Linked DNA regions of Lepisosteus oculatus. The protein of the gene in region 1 purifies or fractionates together with the protein of each later gene. This does not show direct contact. Links are inferred from orthologs where the notes say so. Each region holds a gene or a part of one and is shown in the gene's direction. Other genes may lie near its edges.

Region 1 (7,990 bases):
ATTCTTATTTTGTGTGGCTTACAGTAATGCACCTAAAAAGGAAGAATTACAATAAATTTTATGCTGAAAAAATAAGGATGAGCATGCTTGATAGTACTAAAGGTGGAATACATACAAGGGTAAACGTACCTTTTCATAAGGACAGTGGTTGTAATTGTTAATTGGACTGGTGCAAATAAAAACATCTGTGCTGAAAAAGAATAAAATATACAATGTGTAAGAAATGAAACATCTGTCATCACTCTATGTGTTAAAATTAATTCAGCTACAAGAAAGAGAACCACTGCTTATAAGTTGGATGTCAGCTGTCCTGGAACAGACTTTTTTGGCTCAGAAACCCTGCTTACGTCATGATAATTAATGTCGCCGTCGAAAAAAAAACGAAACAAGGAACAATCGGGGCAGACAGGAAAGGACTGGAATTGACTTGGACCACCAGGACCACAACCCTCAACCCAACCCACACTTGGGCAAGGTACTTCACTGGTGGAGCCACTCATTGGGGCTTTGGGTAGCACACTTTGTGTAAAGGCAAATGCATGCCTAGGGTGTACAAGAGGAAAGGGACAGAGTTCCAAAAGAAAACACCTGCAACTTAATAAAAAACACACTTCACCATTTGACAGTTTGCAGGGCTTCAAACAGAGACCACACACGTTACTAGCCTGTAACAGACCTGACTTTCTTGGTACTGTAAGTGTCAGTGTACCTGCTGGAAGAAAAAACATCTTTCCTGATGATAGCTTAATAAATCTGTAGCAAGGACAAGTGATCCTTTCTTTTGACTTTCAGTGGATTTATGTATAGGGATCAAAAGCTTCATTAAAAAAAAGACTTACTTTTCAAGCTTGGACATCTCCTTCACAGCTACCACAGCACCGGGAAGAGGCTCCAGGTCTATAAAGAAGTTCTTAGTTTCCCATATGCTGATAGCCTTCTCCTGCAAACAATGAGGTCAACTCAGTGTCTATTTGCTAAATGTGACTGGCAGTATACAGGGCCCCTGTGGAAACCCTGTGAAACCCAGTACAAAATCTCAGGAGTTGACTTCTTAAAAAAACAAAACGCTAATGATTAAAAACCTGAGAAATTCCTAGGACGTCTCAAAAACAATCATTATTGCTGTGAAATAAATGTTTCAGGCCTGGAAACCTATTGATGCACAAAGCTTAAAAGAGAAATCAGATTCTAAACTGGTTTATTCATTGTTTCGGTTGTATCAAATGACACTAATTTAAACTCCCACCGAGACAACCTTGAAGATTGTTAATTGTTGCTACAGTATGTCCGTTAACTCTGTACGCCTTTCAAGTGCTAAGTACACTGAGGTATAAAACATCAAATCCCATGCGAGAGTCAGGATCTGTATTTAAAAATACACCTTTTTCCCCATAATAAAAACTAAATCGATGACCCTGTATAAACAAGGCTAATTTGTATTATCTGCTCACTTTCACTAAAAATCACATTTACCATGTCTTGATTTTTTTCATTCTAAATGAAACATATCATTAATGGGCCTACTGACTTTCACAGACACTACTGTACATCTGTTTACTAATAATGATAGTGATGGACGGATATTAACAGGACATTCCTGGTGCTGTTAATATCATTTTAGTACCAAACCAGAGACTGACAAGTCAGCTGTTCTGTCATAGAAGTATGATAATGACTTCTGTTATCAATTAAGATGTTCCTGATCTTTAATATTGAGGATTTGTGCAGCTGTTTTTTCTTCATAACAGAGACCTCTGCTGACTTAGGAAATAGCAGAGCAACTCCATTATTAGCACTGAGAAGACAGGCTAGGTTAATACTGTTGGCAGAGCTCTAAAGCAAAAGTCTCTTGATTATCACAAAGGACAACTTCTGATTTTTTCTCGGAATTAGTTGCCGAAACAGGTCAATACAACAAGACATCAGATTTTGTGCAGTTTTCTTTGTACAGTAAGTTTATTTCCCTCCCCCCCATCACCAAGATGGGTAGAAGGGATTCCTATTCCTGTATTTCACGTTTTACCATTGATATGCAACTATTTTTGTTCAAATATAATCTTGATTAAAAAGATACCATGGAGATGAAGATCACAGCAGAAGCGATACCTGTACAGTAAGAGGAACCAACCCTGGTCCTGAAGAGCTCTAGTCCAGCAAGGTTCCTAGGTAGCCATCAAACTAGCAGTTAAAAGATAGTTGTACGAAAAGGTTAATTTTGAAGTCCTTAGTCAGCTGCTTAGGGAGCTTGCTTGTTGAGAGTAGGCACAGCATCCTGAGAGGTTAGAGGGGTCAGAGGATTAACTCTGGGAGTGTATTCACCTGGCTTCATTTAAGGCCTAATGAGTCCATCGCGTTTTCTGGCCTTAAAAAAAAAAGTATTAAAGAATCAAACTTTTGCACATGCCTCATTACTCGTTTTATTTTTTTTTCGACCTGATAAAAGTAAGCAAACAAAAGAGTAATTGTGCATTAAAATGTGCAGAAATTGGTCACGTTTAGGTTTGTACCCTGCAGAGGTTGAAACATGCAATTTGATCAAAAACTTCGGCATACAACTATTTAAGTTACGCAGGTGATTTATTAAATTAGGTAATTTAGTGATCATTTTGGGCTGCGGTCCAAATATTCTTCAATCCTCAAAGCCCAGATATCTCAATTTAGCAGAATACTTTTTAAATTGATCACTGTGGATAACACTTGTTAATTCCTCTTTAGAAACTGCCGGTCCGTAAAATTAACTGGACTGGTGTTCTCCGGGACCAGGGTGTGGAGATTCCCGCTGTACAGCATAGAGCAAAACGACATTCAATGGAAGATAAGAATTGAGATCTCACATTAAGCACGTAATGTGTTGAAACTCAAATTAATCCTACCCATGCAGGTGACATGTAATCGCACACCTGTCTCTTATGTAAAACCCTTACTTAATTACTTCTGAAATACTTCACACTTTGCTTAAAGGAATGCTTAAGCGTGTTCTTTTTTTTATTATTTCGCCCTGAAAGACCTAAGAGACATTTTTAACACGAGACATTTTCTAAGGAGACTTTTTAGGGGAAGTAAGGTAAACAGAAATGAATTTCGAATAAAAAGCACTGCAGAAACACCAGGCGTGAGTTCACCAGTGCATGTCGTCACCTGCAGGAAATTCTTTGAACAAAGTTTCGGATTTCTTAGCCTGCTGAAATTTCACTTACCGAGTACCGATTTTAGCTCCGACTGCCAAGCTGAAACTGCCTCAGGCGTCTCATATACATGCTCAAAATATATATTTTTTTATTTTACGAAAATATATTCCATATATTTTCCTCCTGGTGCAAGCGTAACGACGTGTTAGTAATAAAAATACGAAATGATTTGGAAATACGTTACAAAACGTGCATTTATTCACACTTACGCAGAGATCGCTCCTCAGGTGTCCGTACTGGGTTGAGACCCAAAATCCCCTGCGATCCTCTAAAGTAATGTAAGGCTCGTTAGGATACCTGGCCCTGAATTTCTTTAAAAACCCTCCTTCGAAGTCTGCAATGACTCCATCCATATCCACTAAAACACGCAGCCTTTTAGGAAAGGAAACCGGCATCTTTTCTGCAGGACCAGCAAGCCACCTGAGCTGCGTAGGTTTCAGAACATGTTCCACCTTTCGCAAGGGTAAAATTCGAGGCAATAAAATCATGTTAATTATATATGTAAGGGGCAACGACAAGAGTGTCCAAAGGTCCACCTGGAGCCAACAAGCAAACCGCACAACTGCAAACACAATTGAGTTGCATTTAAATTGGGGGGTATACCTAAAACTTAAAAACCGAATGCAAAATATAGAAGGGCATAAACAGGTGTCGGTCTTTTTTCTTATGCGCAGCCCAGCGTTTTACACCTGCCTCCGGGACCTCTGCCAGCCCCGCTTGCATGTCTTCAAGGGGTGCTTGATTCGTACAAATACTTCAACTGGGCAAAATGGAGTTAATCTCGGCTAGTTCCCCACTGCCTGTCCGTGCCCCTCTCTGCACATGTGGCCTTCTTCACAACAGTGCAATTTATCTCTGGTAGCTAAGCAACTATTTCAAAGAGCCAGGCCCGCAGTAGTAAAATGCCATGCCGCCCACACACCCCGGACTGCAAACCAGTCCTGCCGCAGATCACTCCCTTTTGGGAAAAACAAACCCCACCTATAACCCGGTAGTACTAGCCTTCCCGTGTTTTGGCCTCCTTTCACTCTTAAAGGAAAACGTGACCGAAGAGAGATTAAAAAAAATAAATAAAACACGCCATAATGTCTCGGGCAGTAAAATAAGACATATAATGGAAATGTGTAAAAAAATTAATTGTTCAGCTTTTATAATTGTGAATTCCTCTGGTTGCGCAGTGTCTATTTCTGTATCAGTTTTAATATCTTGTCTCCTTTTTTTGTATTTCTGAGGTTTAAATAAAAATTTAAATCTAAGCAATAGATGTTGTCTATTTTGAACATTTATTCAATGCAGCTATAGAGGTTAAACAGGGTATTTACCTATTAAAAGCGCAACGTTAGCATTTCCCCAGGCCTTTCTGTATTGTGCTTTGCAACCGATAAGAAATGTTTTTACAGCAATTAAAAAAACACCCACACAGCCTCTGGGAACCTTCAATCCCCCAGCTAACTATGATTTTCCCAGGACAACATGATTTTCGCCACCATGGACCTGTAAAGACTTTCAAGATAAGGGAGTTCCAAGCTTTTGAAAAAGTTCTGTAAAGGAAATACTTTATTTGGGGAAATTTGACTTCCCAGATTTCAACAGCATTCGTGGTGCTGCTTGACTGTCATTGCGTTTCAATGCACAGACTTAAAAACAAAAGTTTTAACGAAAACGGTCGGCCGGTAAGGCTGGAGGGGAGCGACCGTTGGAGACGGAACGCGCTGGCGCCTGTACTGTAGCTTTAAGGGCGCGAGCGGCTCGTGCCCTGAAATCCCGGCAGCAGCGGCAGTCCTCGAGCCTCTCGCGATATTTCCCGTCAGTGGCGGCTCTGTGGGCCCCCTCACGCTGGGCTACTCCTGACATTTGAATGAGAACAGATTGAGAACGACAACCCCGAAAACGGCAGAAGGCAAGAATGGCTTCAGCTCTGGAGCAGTTCGTGAATAACGTTCGGCAGCTTTCGGCTCAGGGTAGGTACAGCGGCTGGCCTCCCACCCCCAGAAGCTGTTAGTAATTATTAATCCTTCAGCTGCAGCACGGAGCCTGCATTTTTTTTTTTAAAAAAATGCTTTATCATGTAAACAAGTCTGGCTTTTACGCGAGTCTCGCAGTCCTTTCCGTTTTCAGCTCTTGGCAAAGCTGTATTTTGAACGGGTGCATTAAAGCAAAGATAGACGCTTAACGACAAAACATGAAAAGGCAGTTTTGTTCCCCTTTTTCCTTGAGAAAATGTTTCTAACCGTATGTCGACAGGTAGTTCCTCCCAAGTGGGCTTTTATTGGATTAGCTGTCGAAAGCGCTGCTGTGATTGGTTGCTTGTCCTGTCACTTACCCGGTGGGGGGTTACTTCCGGTGATAAATGTGTGCAGGCCTCATGCTGGTTAATGTCATAACATACAGTACCTGTAACGCAGCTAAGGAGCAGCACTACAAATCGTACGTTTCTTTATAATTAAGATGATGAGGCGACCATTAAATACGCTATTTCCCGGTTACTAGGTTTATGTAAATGGTAACCTGTCCATCACAACCAGTGACAACCCAGTAAAACTAATTTACCAGTTTCAGGTCTGTACATGCAGGCATGTCATGTCATCAAACCTGCGCTATAAACAGATGCCATGTACCCATTTCTAGATGGCAGTTGTGTGTGTCTGAAAAAAATGAATCTGTGCTTTCTGTCTTCAAGAGGTTTTATTTGAAAGTGTCTCTAAATGTCACTAGAGAATGGTGCTGCGTTGATTAACAGGGGGTTTGATAAAGCCAGCACGTCCCCTGTTCTCTGTGATTTCGCTGTTGTGAAAGTAAAGCTGTCAGCATGTTCAGCACCTGCCGTAATGTTTAATTAAGATCACAATAAAAGGGAGTGTAAAATTTAGACAGGATTTTAAATCTAATTACCCGTGCTACTAAACCGCTATGAAGAAATGGGTACCTTATTTTGATTTGAATCTGGTATTAGCAGATGAGGCTGTGTTTTATCCTTTTCAGTACGTCCTGCAGTCGTTCACAGCTTTAAAACGGAGTGACATTTTCTCAAATTCTCTACATAAAAAAATCCGTAGCTTCTATATTAAGAGGCCGTAGCGTAGTTGGGAAGTGAGCAGAAATATTGTGCGATAACTAATTTCAAATCAAGAGGCTCTGTCCTTTCAACGTCCCCAAGCTCATGAATCGTGACCTGTCAATTGCACCCGGGAAGCATTTCATTTTGATTCGAGTTCCAACACAAATGTTAGAGCAAGCAAAACTGGCGCAAAGGTAAAAGTTCTGAAATTGATCCTATTTTTACAACAAGCACAAAACACCCCACGTCGTGCACTGAGCCCAAACGTGCTTTTCTGTGTAGAGTAATTTGGCGAATGTCGTGGATGTTTTTCAGGTCAGATGACACAACTGTGCGAATTGATAAATAAGAGCGGGGAGCTGCTGGCGAAAAACCTGTCCCATTTAGACACAGTTCTTGGGGCGCTGGACATACAGGAGCACTCGCTCGGTGTTCTTGCAGTCCTGTAAGTTTGCACTTCGACAATGACGCAGAGACGGGAATATTTTGTTTGATTTTCCTTTAAACGCCAATAGGACAATAAGTCCAAAAGGGAATAATTATCTGGGCAATAAGTGAGTTAGTTTAGAACCGGGATCTCAAATAGAAGAGTGTTCCAGGAGGGCCTAGTGCATTTTAGTTTTTGTTCCAATCGTCTCCACAGTTACATAGATGATCAAATTATTCAATTAGCTGCATAATTGTAATATAGTACTTCTAATCAGGCTGTGAGCTGATTTCTAGGTAACTATACCTGTAAGGACAGTAAAATATTTTGTGTATGTCTAATACACAATACACAATAGAAAATAATGAGGTTAATTGACTATATATTTTGGAACAAGAATAATAAGACGCAAGACCTTTGATGAACTTGGTTTGAGAGCACTGGCTGAAACTGAGTATTGACGATATTACGAAGACAAGTCTGTCTATGAAAGCAGCTCTGTGGGATTCAACAGGTCCCCAAGATGTGAATTGAAATTGATTCCAGTTTTGGATTTCTTTCATTTTAACTCCTAACAAGTCACACCTAAGGTATAGAATCTATTAGATGGCTTGCCTTTTTAATTGGCCCAGGTTCAATGTGAAGGCGGCTGAAACAGCCTTCAAACACGTTTTCCTGGTTTTGTGATTTTTCTTTTCCCTACGTGTTGCAGATTTGTCAAGTTTTCCATGCCAAACATCCCCGATTTTGAAACGCTATTCTCGCAGGTTCAGCTCTTCATCAGCACCTGCAATGGAGAGCACATCAGATATGCAACAGACACTTGTAAGTCTCTACATGTGCTTTAGATTAAGTGTTAGTCAGACTCTTCTAATTTTGTTCTAGTATGAGCCACGTTGTTCCTTTGTTTTTGTCTTGCAGTTGCTGGCCTCTGCCATCAGTTAACAAATGCTCTCGTAGAACGGAAACAGGTAAATCAGAAACGGATGAAGATGTATACAAAATATCACAAATGAGACAGCTTCATTAACATTGAAATTGAGCAACCTTTCTACAGGGCTGTTTATCCAGATATTAAAGCATGTATTAAACGCTTTTCGATATTATCACATTAGTACAAATTTATTTTAGATCATCTGTCCAAATGTTATTGCTCTTATGTGTTGTCCAAGTATACTGAAACTTTATTTAACACTTCTAACTTCATCTGTTTATTTCACCACAGCCACTAAGGGGAGTTGGCATTCTAAAGCAGGCAATAGATAAAATGCAGATGAACACAAACCAGCTTACCTCAATTCATGCAGACCTCTGTCA
Region 2 (7,958 bases), on another chromosome or scaffold:
GCAGAACCTGGCACTGCTGGAGCAGTACTGATAGACCTTCGTCTTCCTGACAGGCAATCTGGACAAGACCAGAATCATGGTTTTCTACAAGAAGGCTCTACAACATCAGCTCCCCTATAAAGATTTTGCTGCAAATATTCGAAAGTGTAATCCAACCAATTGTAATACAAGGCAGTGAGGTGTGGGGTCTCCTCATAGACCAGGAGTACACTTAATGGGACAAACACTCCATAGAAACTCTGCACATGGAGATCTGTAGAAACATCATCCATGTGCAGAGAAAAAAAAAGAGTAATAAAGTATTGGTAATACTTAAAAAGCAGCAACCAAAACCCCTACCACCACAAGGCCCTGCTGAGCCAAGAGCTGAGCCCAACAAAGAGCCTCCTGAGCCAGCTGGTCCTGAGGCTCACTGGCCTGAGCCACACCGACACCAGCCAGCCTCAGGACAGCACTGCTAGAGCATCACAACTCAGACCCAAGCACATCACAGCACAGATCAAACAGCAATATCTCACACACTGGGACACTCGCACACAAACTGGAATGCTACAGAATCCAAAATAGACAATACATGCTACCTGAATATTTGACCAACATAAGTAATGGCAAAATGAAACAGACCCTGACGAAGTACAGGCTCAGTGACCACAGCCTGGCCATAGAAACTGGGTGACACAGGCAGACCTGGCTGCCCAGAGAGGACAGGCTGTGCTCCTACTGCCAGCGGGGAGAAACAGAGACAGAGATGCACTTCCAACTGCACTGTGACAGATACTCTGGGATTAGAGAAACAGTCTTCCCTAAATTTACAAATCTAATCCCAAAATTCTCATAACTGCCACAATCACAACAACTCCCGATCCTACTGGGAGAGGGAGGAGGGAACTCAGTTGAACTGGAAGACCAGTGTGTGATCTCGTCACACCCTGAGGAACAGTGAGCCTGTCTCCCAATAATGCTCCATATATTTATATGTAAATATATTATGATTGTATCTGCATTGGAAATGTCTGTAATTGTCTGTAGACTTTATGTTAATTTTATTTTGCTTTGGCTACACTGATTTTAGTCATTGGTCATGCCAACAAAGCATCTTGAATGGAAATTGAATTGAGAGACAAAGACCAAAGACAGCGCAGAGCACAGCCAGAGACAGAGACCAGAAACTGCACAGAGCATAGCCAGAGACGCAGAGCAGACCCAGAGACCAGAGAGACCAGAACCAGCACAGAGCACAGCCAGAGAGACCAGAGACCAGAGACCGCGCAGAGCACAACCAGAGAGACAGACGATGTAGACAGAGACCAGAGACAGACCAGAGCACAGCCAGAGAGATAGAGATCAGACACACAGAGAGAGCACAGACAGACACGCAGAGAGAGACAGAGACAGCACAGAATACAGCCAGAGAGCAACCAGAGAGACAGACCGAGGGAGACAGAGACCAGAGACAGAGCAGAGCACAACCAGAGAGACAGACCGAGGGAGACAGAGACCAGAGACAGAGCAGAGCACAACCAGAGAGACAGACCGAGGGAGACAGAGACCAGAGACAGAGCAGAGCACAGCCAGAGAGATAGAGATCAGACACACACAGAGAGAGACAGAGACACACAGAGAGAGACAGAGACAGCACAGAATACAGCCAGAGAGATAGAGATCAGACACACACAGAGAGAGACAGAGACACACAGAGACAGCTCAGCTCAGCCGCCCCGCGTGGCGCCCCGCCCGCACGCTCACCTGCTTCTCCTGGGGGGCCAGGCGGCTCCACTCGGCGCCCAGCCTCTTGGTGATCTCGGGGAAGGGCAGGTCGGGGTGCTGCGCCCGGATCTGCTCGCGCCGCTCGTTCAGGAAGCGCACGTACCCCGTCACCGGCGCCTTCGGCCCGTTCGGCAGCACCTTCTTCCTCTTCTTGCCCTTGGGCCAGCCACGCTTCTTCACGGGCTGGGGGGGGAGAGAGGGGTCAGCGTGTCTGCCCCGGGGCGGTCAGTCGCGCGCGCCCGGCCGGCCGTCCTGACCTCCTCCTCGGGGGCGCGGCCCGGCTGGCCGGCGGCTGGTCCCTCGCTTTCGGGGGGGTTGTGGGCACGATGGGTCCCCACCTCCGTCTGCTCCAGCTTCACCCCGCCAGCGATAAACACCCCCCCGTTCATGGCAGAGCTCCGCGAGGGGCTGGGGAAGAAGGATTACCAGCTGAGACACAGCTGAGGATCTGAAATGACTCAACCCAAGGAAGAGACAGAGCTGCCCCTGCCCCCAGCCCAAGTTCTTACCCCACCTTTGCCCCAACTCCTGCCCCTGCCCCTGTGTACTCACTCAGTGGCGCCGCCCTGCTGGTGCTTAGTGTTCTGAGACATCCCTGCACCTGCCTGGAGAGAACAGACACAGTCACAAACACAGAGCCCCCCACACACACACCCCACTCAGGGACAGTCAGGCCAGAACACGGAGCTGCCGGACGGACCCCCGACCGCCAGAGGTGAGGAGGTCAGACCCGCACAGTCCGCTCCCTCCGTCCACAGAACAGCGCCCGACCAGCAAACACCCCAATTTCAAACAACATCGCGACTGCGCCCCCAACGGTTCCGCGCTGGTCCCAATTATAATAATTCAGGTAGACAAGGTACAGAGGTTCAAATATGAAAGGCAGAATCCACCACGAACTTGTTATATAGCTAAAATATAAATCAAAAATATAAATTAGTCACAGCAGCTTGTATCTTTTTTTCTCCGTCTGCTACAGCACGGCCCCCCTCACGGTGGAGTTAAAATAACCAGGCTTTTAACAAAAGAGCGCATAATCCTACGCTTCGTCCATCTCTCACGGCTAAAACCGAACCTGTGGGGCCCTACAGCGGGTCTCGGCTCTGCCGCTCGAAGTTTTAGAGTTTTCTATGGCGAAACCACGTTTTTTTCCACACAGATAATTCAATAAAACACGGTGAAAAAAACTTCACAGTTACCTCTCGACAACCCACAGCTTCTCGCTATCCGCCCTCTCAACCAAACTCCGGGAAGGCAATTATCATACCGCCCTGAGCCATTCCATTGGCTCTTCCGGATATCCGAAACTCTGATTGGCTCTGGGGGTTCGCGGGAGGCGGGGTGTCTGCTTCTTATAAAAAGTTATCGGGAAGCCTGGATTGGGCAAGCGCGATAAAGCACGCGTTCTATTGGGTTATATGGGTGTCAGTCACGGAAGCGGTTCACCATATAGTTTGTCGGTTTTGTTTTGGGTCTTGAGAATTGCGAAATGTGATTTTATAACATACATTTTTACATTAAATAGGATTTCAACTTCTCAAGGTTCTCAATTCTAATATTTAAATCTGAGATTTGCTTGAAACAAAGTCAATAAAACTTTTCTAAGAGTTAAATGTATCTATACATTTTTGTTTTCACGTGAAACAAAACGGTAATATTTTAGCCCCACTTTACATATACAATGTATATATTATCCAGTATATAAATATGTCCACAATTCCAGTCCTGGAGAGGTCAGTGTGTCTGCAGGCTGTCCAGTCCTGGTCCTGGAGGGTCAGTGTGTCTGCAGGGTTCTCCAGTCCTGGTCCTGGAGGGTCAGTGTATCTGCAGGGTGTCCAGTCCTGGTTCTGGAGGGGTCAGTGTGTCTGCAGGGTGTCCAGTTCTGCTATTGGAGGGGTCAGTGTGTCTGCAGGCTGTCCAGTCCTGGTCCTGGAGGGTCAGTGTGTCTGCAGGGTGTCCAGTCCTGGTCCTGGAGGGGTCAGCATGTCTGCAGGCTGTCCAGTCTTGGTCCTGGAGGGTCAGTGTGTCTGCAGGGTGTCCAGTCCTGCTATTGGAGGGGTCAGTGTGTCTGCAGGCTGTCCAGTCCTGGTCCTGAAGGGTCAGTGTGTCTGCAGGCTGTCCAGTCTTGGTCCTGGAGGGCCAGTGTGTCTGCAGGGTTCTACAGTCCTGGTCCTGGAGGGGTCGGTGAGTCTGCAGGCTGTCCAGTCTTGGTCCTGGAGGGTCAGTGTGTCTGCAGGGTGTCCAGTCCTGCTATTGGAGGGGTCAGTGTGTCTGCAGGCTGTCCAGTCTTGGTCCTGGAGGGTCAGTGTGTCTGCAGGGTGTCCAGTCCTGCTATTGGAGGGGTCAGTGTGTCTGCAGGCTGTCCAGTCTTGGTCCTGGAGGGTCAGTGTGTCTGCAGGGTGTCCAGTCCTGGTCCTGGAGGGGTCAGTGTGTCTGCAGGCTGTCCAGTCTTGGTCCTGGAGGGTCAGTGTGTCTGCAGGGTTCTCCAGTCCTGCTATTGGAGGGGTCAGTGTGTCTGCAGGCTGTCCAGTCTTGGTCCTGGAGGGTCAGTGTGTCTGCAGGGTTCTCCAGTCCTGGTCCTGGAGGGGTCAGTGAGTCTGCAGTGTATCTGCAGGCTGTCCAGTCCACTAGGTGTCTAACATTGTGGACCCCTGCTCTGAACCCCAGGAGGGAGGCTGTGACTTGCCCCAGTCGGTGCTCTGGGGTGCTCTGCTGGGTGACTTGCCCCAGTCGGTGCTCTGCTGGGTGACTTGGCAGAGGGTTTGGCCTGGGGTGACCAGGCTGGCAGTGTGGGCTCAGCCACACCACTTCCCAGGATCCAGCCATTACAGTGCTCTTCCCTTAGATTCAGAACTGACCCTTCATTGTTCAGTCAACCCAGATTACTTCTGTAATTAAAGATTACCGAAGGACTTGCAAGGCTACCCAGGGCTCAGCAGGAGCTCCCTCGCTCTCCAGAGGAGTTGGGCCAGGGCAGGAGTGCTGTGTCACCACCATCCCACCCTCTTCAACTGTGCAGCCTGCTCCTGGCTTCCCTTCCAAAGCAACGTGTATTTTTAATCCTAAATTTGCTCTGAACATCGGGGTCACCAGACCTCTCTGTGGTACAGCCCGCTCCTGCCCTGATATCCGAGTCCACCGTCACTCCCGAGGTAACAACCTCTGCATAAAAATTACACGATGACGATGCAGAGCGTGAATTTGACAGGAGGGTGTTGTTGCACTAAACGCCGAGAAATATCTAATCTCATCAAACCAAGGCACGGCGTCTGGCTTGCGAGCAGAAACCTGGCCACCCCCCTAGCCCGCCGCTGTCCTCTCTCCCCGGCGATGCGCTCCGAGTCCGATCCCAGCCGTGCAGTGCGGCGATGCGCTGCTGCGCCTGTCTCTTCCATTCCAAGATGGCTGCGGGTGGGAGCGGCGGTGGAGCTCCGTGTCTGAATTTCTCCAACCCCGGACCCCTCGGCAACGTGCAGTCGAACAACAGCGCTCAGGCCTCGGCCAACAGCGCCGGGGCATCGCCGGGGCCTGCGGGAGGGGTGCAGGGAGCGGGCGGGCACTGCAATCCCCAGCCGGGCCCCGGCGCAGGCGGCGGTGCCGCAGTTGGCGCTACCCCGGCGACGCAGAACGCTTCCTCGCAGGGCGGCTCGGCTCAGAGCGCCGGCGCTGCGGCCGCGGCCGCCGGGGAGACGGCAGCCGCAGCCTCGGCCTCGGTCACGCCGTCCGCGCTGCCCTCGGCTCCTGCAGCGGCCGCCGCCGTGCTGGTGTACCGGGAGCCCGTGTACAACTGGCAGGCAACGAAGAGCACGGTGAAGGAGAGATTCGCCTTCTTGTTCAACAACGAAGTCCTGAGCGACGTGCATTTCTTGGTCGGGAAGGGCATGGGGGTACAGCGCATACCTGCGCACAGGTGAGCCGGCTGCGACATGCAGCACTGACGGTGACTGCGCTTTAAAAATATACTGTATGATTATCACGGCAAAACTCTGCGTCTTGCGTACGGATGTTTTGCTGTGATTATTGTGCGCAGTATTTTAGCTAAAGGACCGGACATTTCTTTTTAAAAGCGTGCCGTGCAGATCGTGTTGACAGTTATATACTATTATTATAAAGACTGCCTGTGTCCTGGGTGAGGACCATGCCGAGGTCTGTGCACACACGCAGACTCCAGGGCAGAAATAGTCCGAGCTGCAGGGGAGACTGTAGACAGTGGAGAATGAAATGAATGTCCGAAACAGGACCCGACCCGACCCGCTGTCAGGCGTGGCGCGTGTTTCTGCAGGACATGTCCGGATTCCCCTGTGTGTCTGTGGCAGGTTTGTGCTGGCCGTGGGCAGCGCCGTGTTTGATGCCATGTTCAACGGGGGAATGGCCACCACTTCAACGGAGATCGAGCTGCCGGACGTCGAACCCGCCGCCTTCCTAGCGCTACTAAAGTGAGACTCGGTCACACCAGCCCTCTCGCTGTCCGCCTGTCTGCCCCTGCGTCCCTGACTGTGTGTCTCTGCCCCTGCTCCTGCCCTTGTCTCTGCCCCTGCGTCCGTGACTGTGTGTCTCGCCCCCTGTGTGTCTCTGCCCCTGCGGCAGTGACTTTTGTGTCTTGCACCCTGTGTGTCTCTACCCTTGTGACAGTGACTGTTTCGCGCTCTGTGTGTCTCTGCCCCTGTGTCAGTGACTGTTTGTCTCACGACCTGTGTGTCTCTGCCCCTGCTCCAGCCCACGCCAGAGTCTCTGCCCCTCCCCTGCCCTTGTCTCTGTCTCTGTTTCTGCCCTTGCCCCTGCCCTTGTCTCTGCCCCTGCCCCTGCCCTTGTCTCTGTCTCTGCTCCTGCCCCTGCCCTTGTCTCTATCTCTGCCCCTGCCCCTGTCTTTCTCTCTGCTCCTGCCCCTGGCTCTGCTCCAGCTCACACTCCTGCCCCTGACCCTGGCCTTGAAGTCTAGAGCTCTAGTGTTATCCTCGCAGCACTGCGTGTACCAGGCGTGATCTCTGCGCTGCGTGTGCCAGGCGTGATCTCTGCGCTGCGTGTGCCAGGCGTGATCTCTGCGCTGCGTGTACCAGGCGTGATCTCTGCGCTGCGTGTACCAGACGTGATCTCTGCGCTGCGTGTGCCAGGCATGATCTCTGCGCTGCGTGTGCCAGGCATGATCTCTGCGCTATGTGTGCCAGGCATGATCTCTGCGCTGCCTGTGCCAGGCGTGATCTCTGCGCTGCCTGTGCCAGGCGTGATCTCTGCGCTGCGTGTGCCAGGCGTGTTCTCTGCTCTGGGTGATCCAAGTGTGTTTCCTGCGCTGTGTGTGCCAGGTTCCTGTACTCAGACGAGGTGCAGATCGGGCCGGAGACGGTGATGACAACACTCTACACGGCCAAGAAATACGCCGTGCCGGCGCTGGAGACTCACTGTGTGGAGTTCCTGAAGAAGAACCTGCGCGCCGACAACGCCTTCATGCTGCTCACGCAGGTACAGCACAGCGCGTGGCCCTCTGAGCGCCTGCATGGAATACGGTGAAACAGCAAGATTGTAGAATTCTCATTGTGGGGGGTTGTCCTCAACAGTTTGCACATCCCAGTTGAGGTTATTACAGAGATTTGTCCCAGTGCTCTCAGTGAGGGATCTCCTCCCTCAGTCCTGGATCTCCTGTGTGTGGCTGCAGAGCTTCTGCAGTCGATATTTGAGTGGCTCAGTGGCGGCAAACATGTCTGCACTTTGTTGTTGTTCTGATGTGGGCAGAGGCAGTGGCTGCTCGCTTAATTTTCGTAAACTTTAGTGGCTTTGCAGTCGGGCCTCAGTGCCCCGTTGCTCTGTGAGCACCGAGTCATGTCTTGGTGCCCCATTGCTCTGTGAGCACCGAGTCAATGTCTTGGTGCTCGTTTGCTCTGTGAGCACTCGGTCATGTCTTGGTGCCCCATTACTCTGTGAGAGCTGAGTCATGTCTTGGTGCCCCATTGCTCTGTGAGCGCCGAGTTGGGCCTCGGTGCTCTGTTGCTCTGTGAGCGCTGAGTCATGTCTTGGTGCCCCATTGCTCTGTGAGCGCCGAGTTGGGCCTCGGTGCTCTGTTGCTCTGTGAGCGCTGAGTCATGTCTTGGTGCCCCATTGCTCTGTGAGCGCTGAGTCATGTCTTGGTGCCCCATTGCTCTGTGAGCGCTGTGTCGGGGCCTCACTGCTGTGCCCCGTTCTGGTACCCCGTGTCGATG

Evidence for each region.
Region 2: the proteins of cops3 (region 1) and btbd2a purify together in Homo sapiens (affinity purification with mass spectrometry; 3 studies listed by BioGRID and IntAct, counting the BioPlex papers as one, with this or other methods). This does not show direct contact. The link is inferred for Lepisosteus oculatus from reciprocal best matches to the Homo sapiens genes COPS3 and BTBD2.

Annotation. Positions count from the first base shown.
Region 1 is NC_090714.1:4,819,439-4,827,428, reverse strand, and holds the start of cops3 (COP9 signalosome complex subunit 3), read left to right. Parts: upstream 1-4,978; 5' UTR 4,979-5,094; coding exon 5,095-5,149; intron 5,150-6,561; coding exon 6,562-6,691; intron 6,692-7,385; coding exon 7,386-7,498; intron 7,499-7,594; coding exon 7,595-7,644; intron 7,645-7,898; coding exon 7,899-7,990. Other genes in the region: 5'(3')-deoxyribonucleotidase, mitochondrial, read right to left, coding at 130-190, 840-940, 3,398-3,676. UniProt on the Homo sapiens protein: Component of the COP9 signalosome complex (CSN), a complex involved in various cellular and developmental processes.
Region 2 is NC_090724.1:9,090,333-9,098,290, forward strand, and holds the start of btbd2a (BTB/POZ domain-containing protein 2), read left to right. Parts: upstream 1-4,943; 5' UTR 4,944-5,135; coding exon 5,136-5,677; intron 5,678-6,083; coding exon 6,084-6,203; intron 6,204-7,067; coding exon 7,068-7,224; intron 7,225-7,958. Other genes in the region: hmg20b (SWI/SNF-related matrix-associated actin-dependent regulator of chromatin subfamily E member 1-related), read right to left, coding at 1,747-1,950, 2,025-2,175, 2,320-2,360.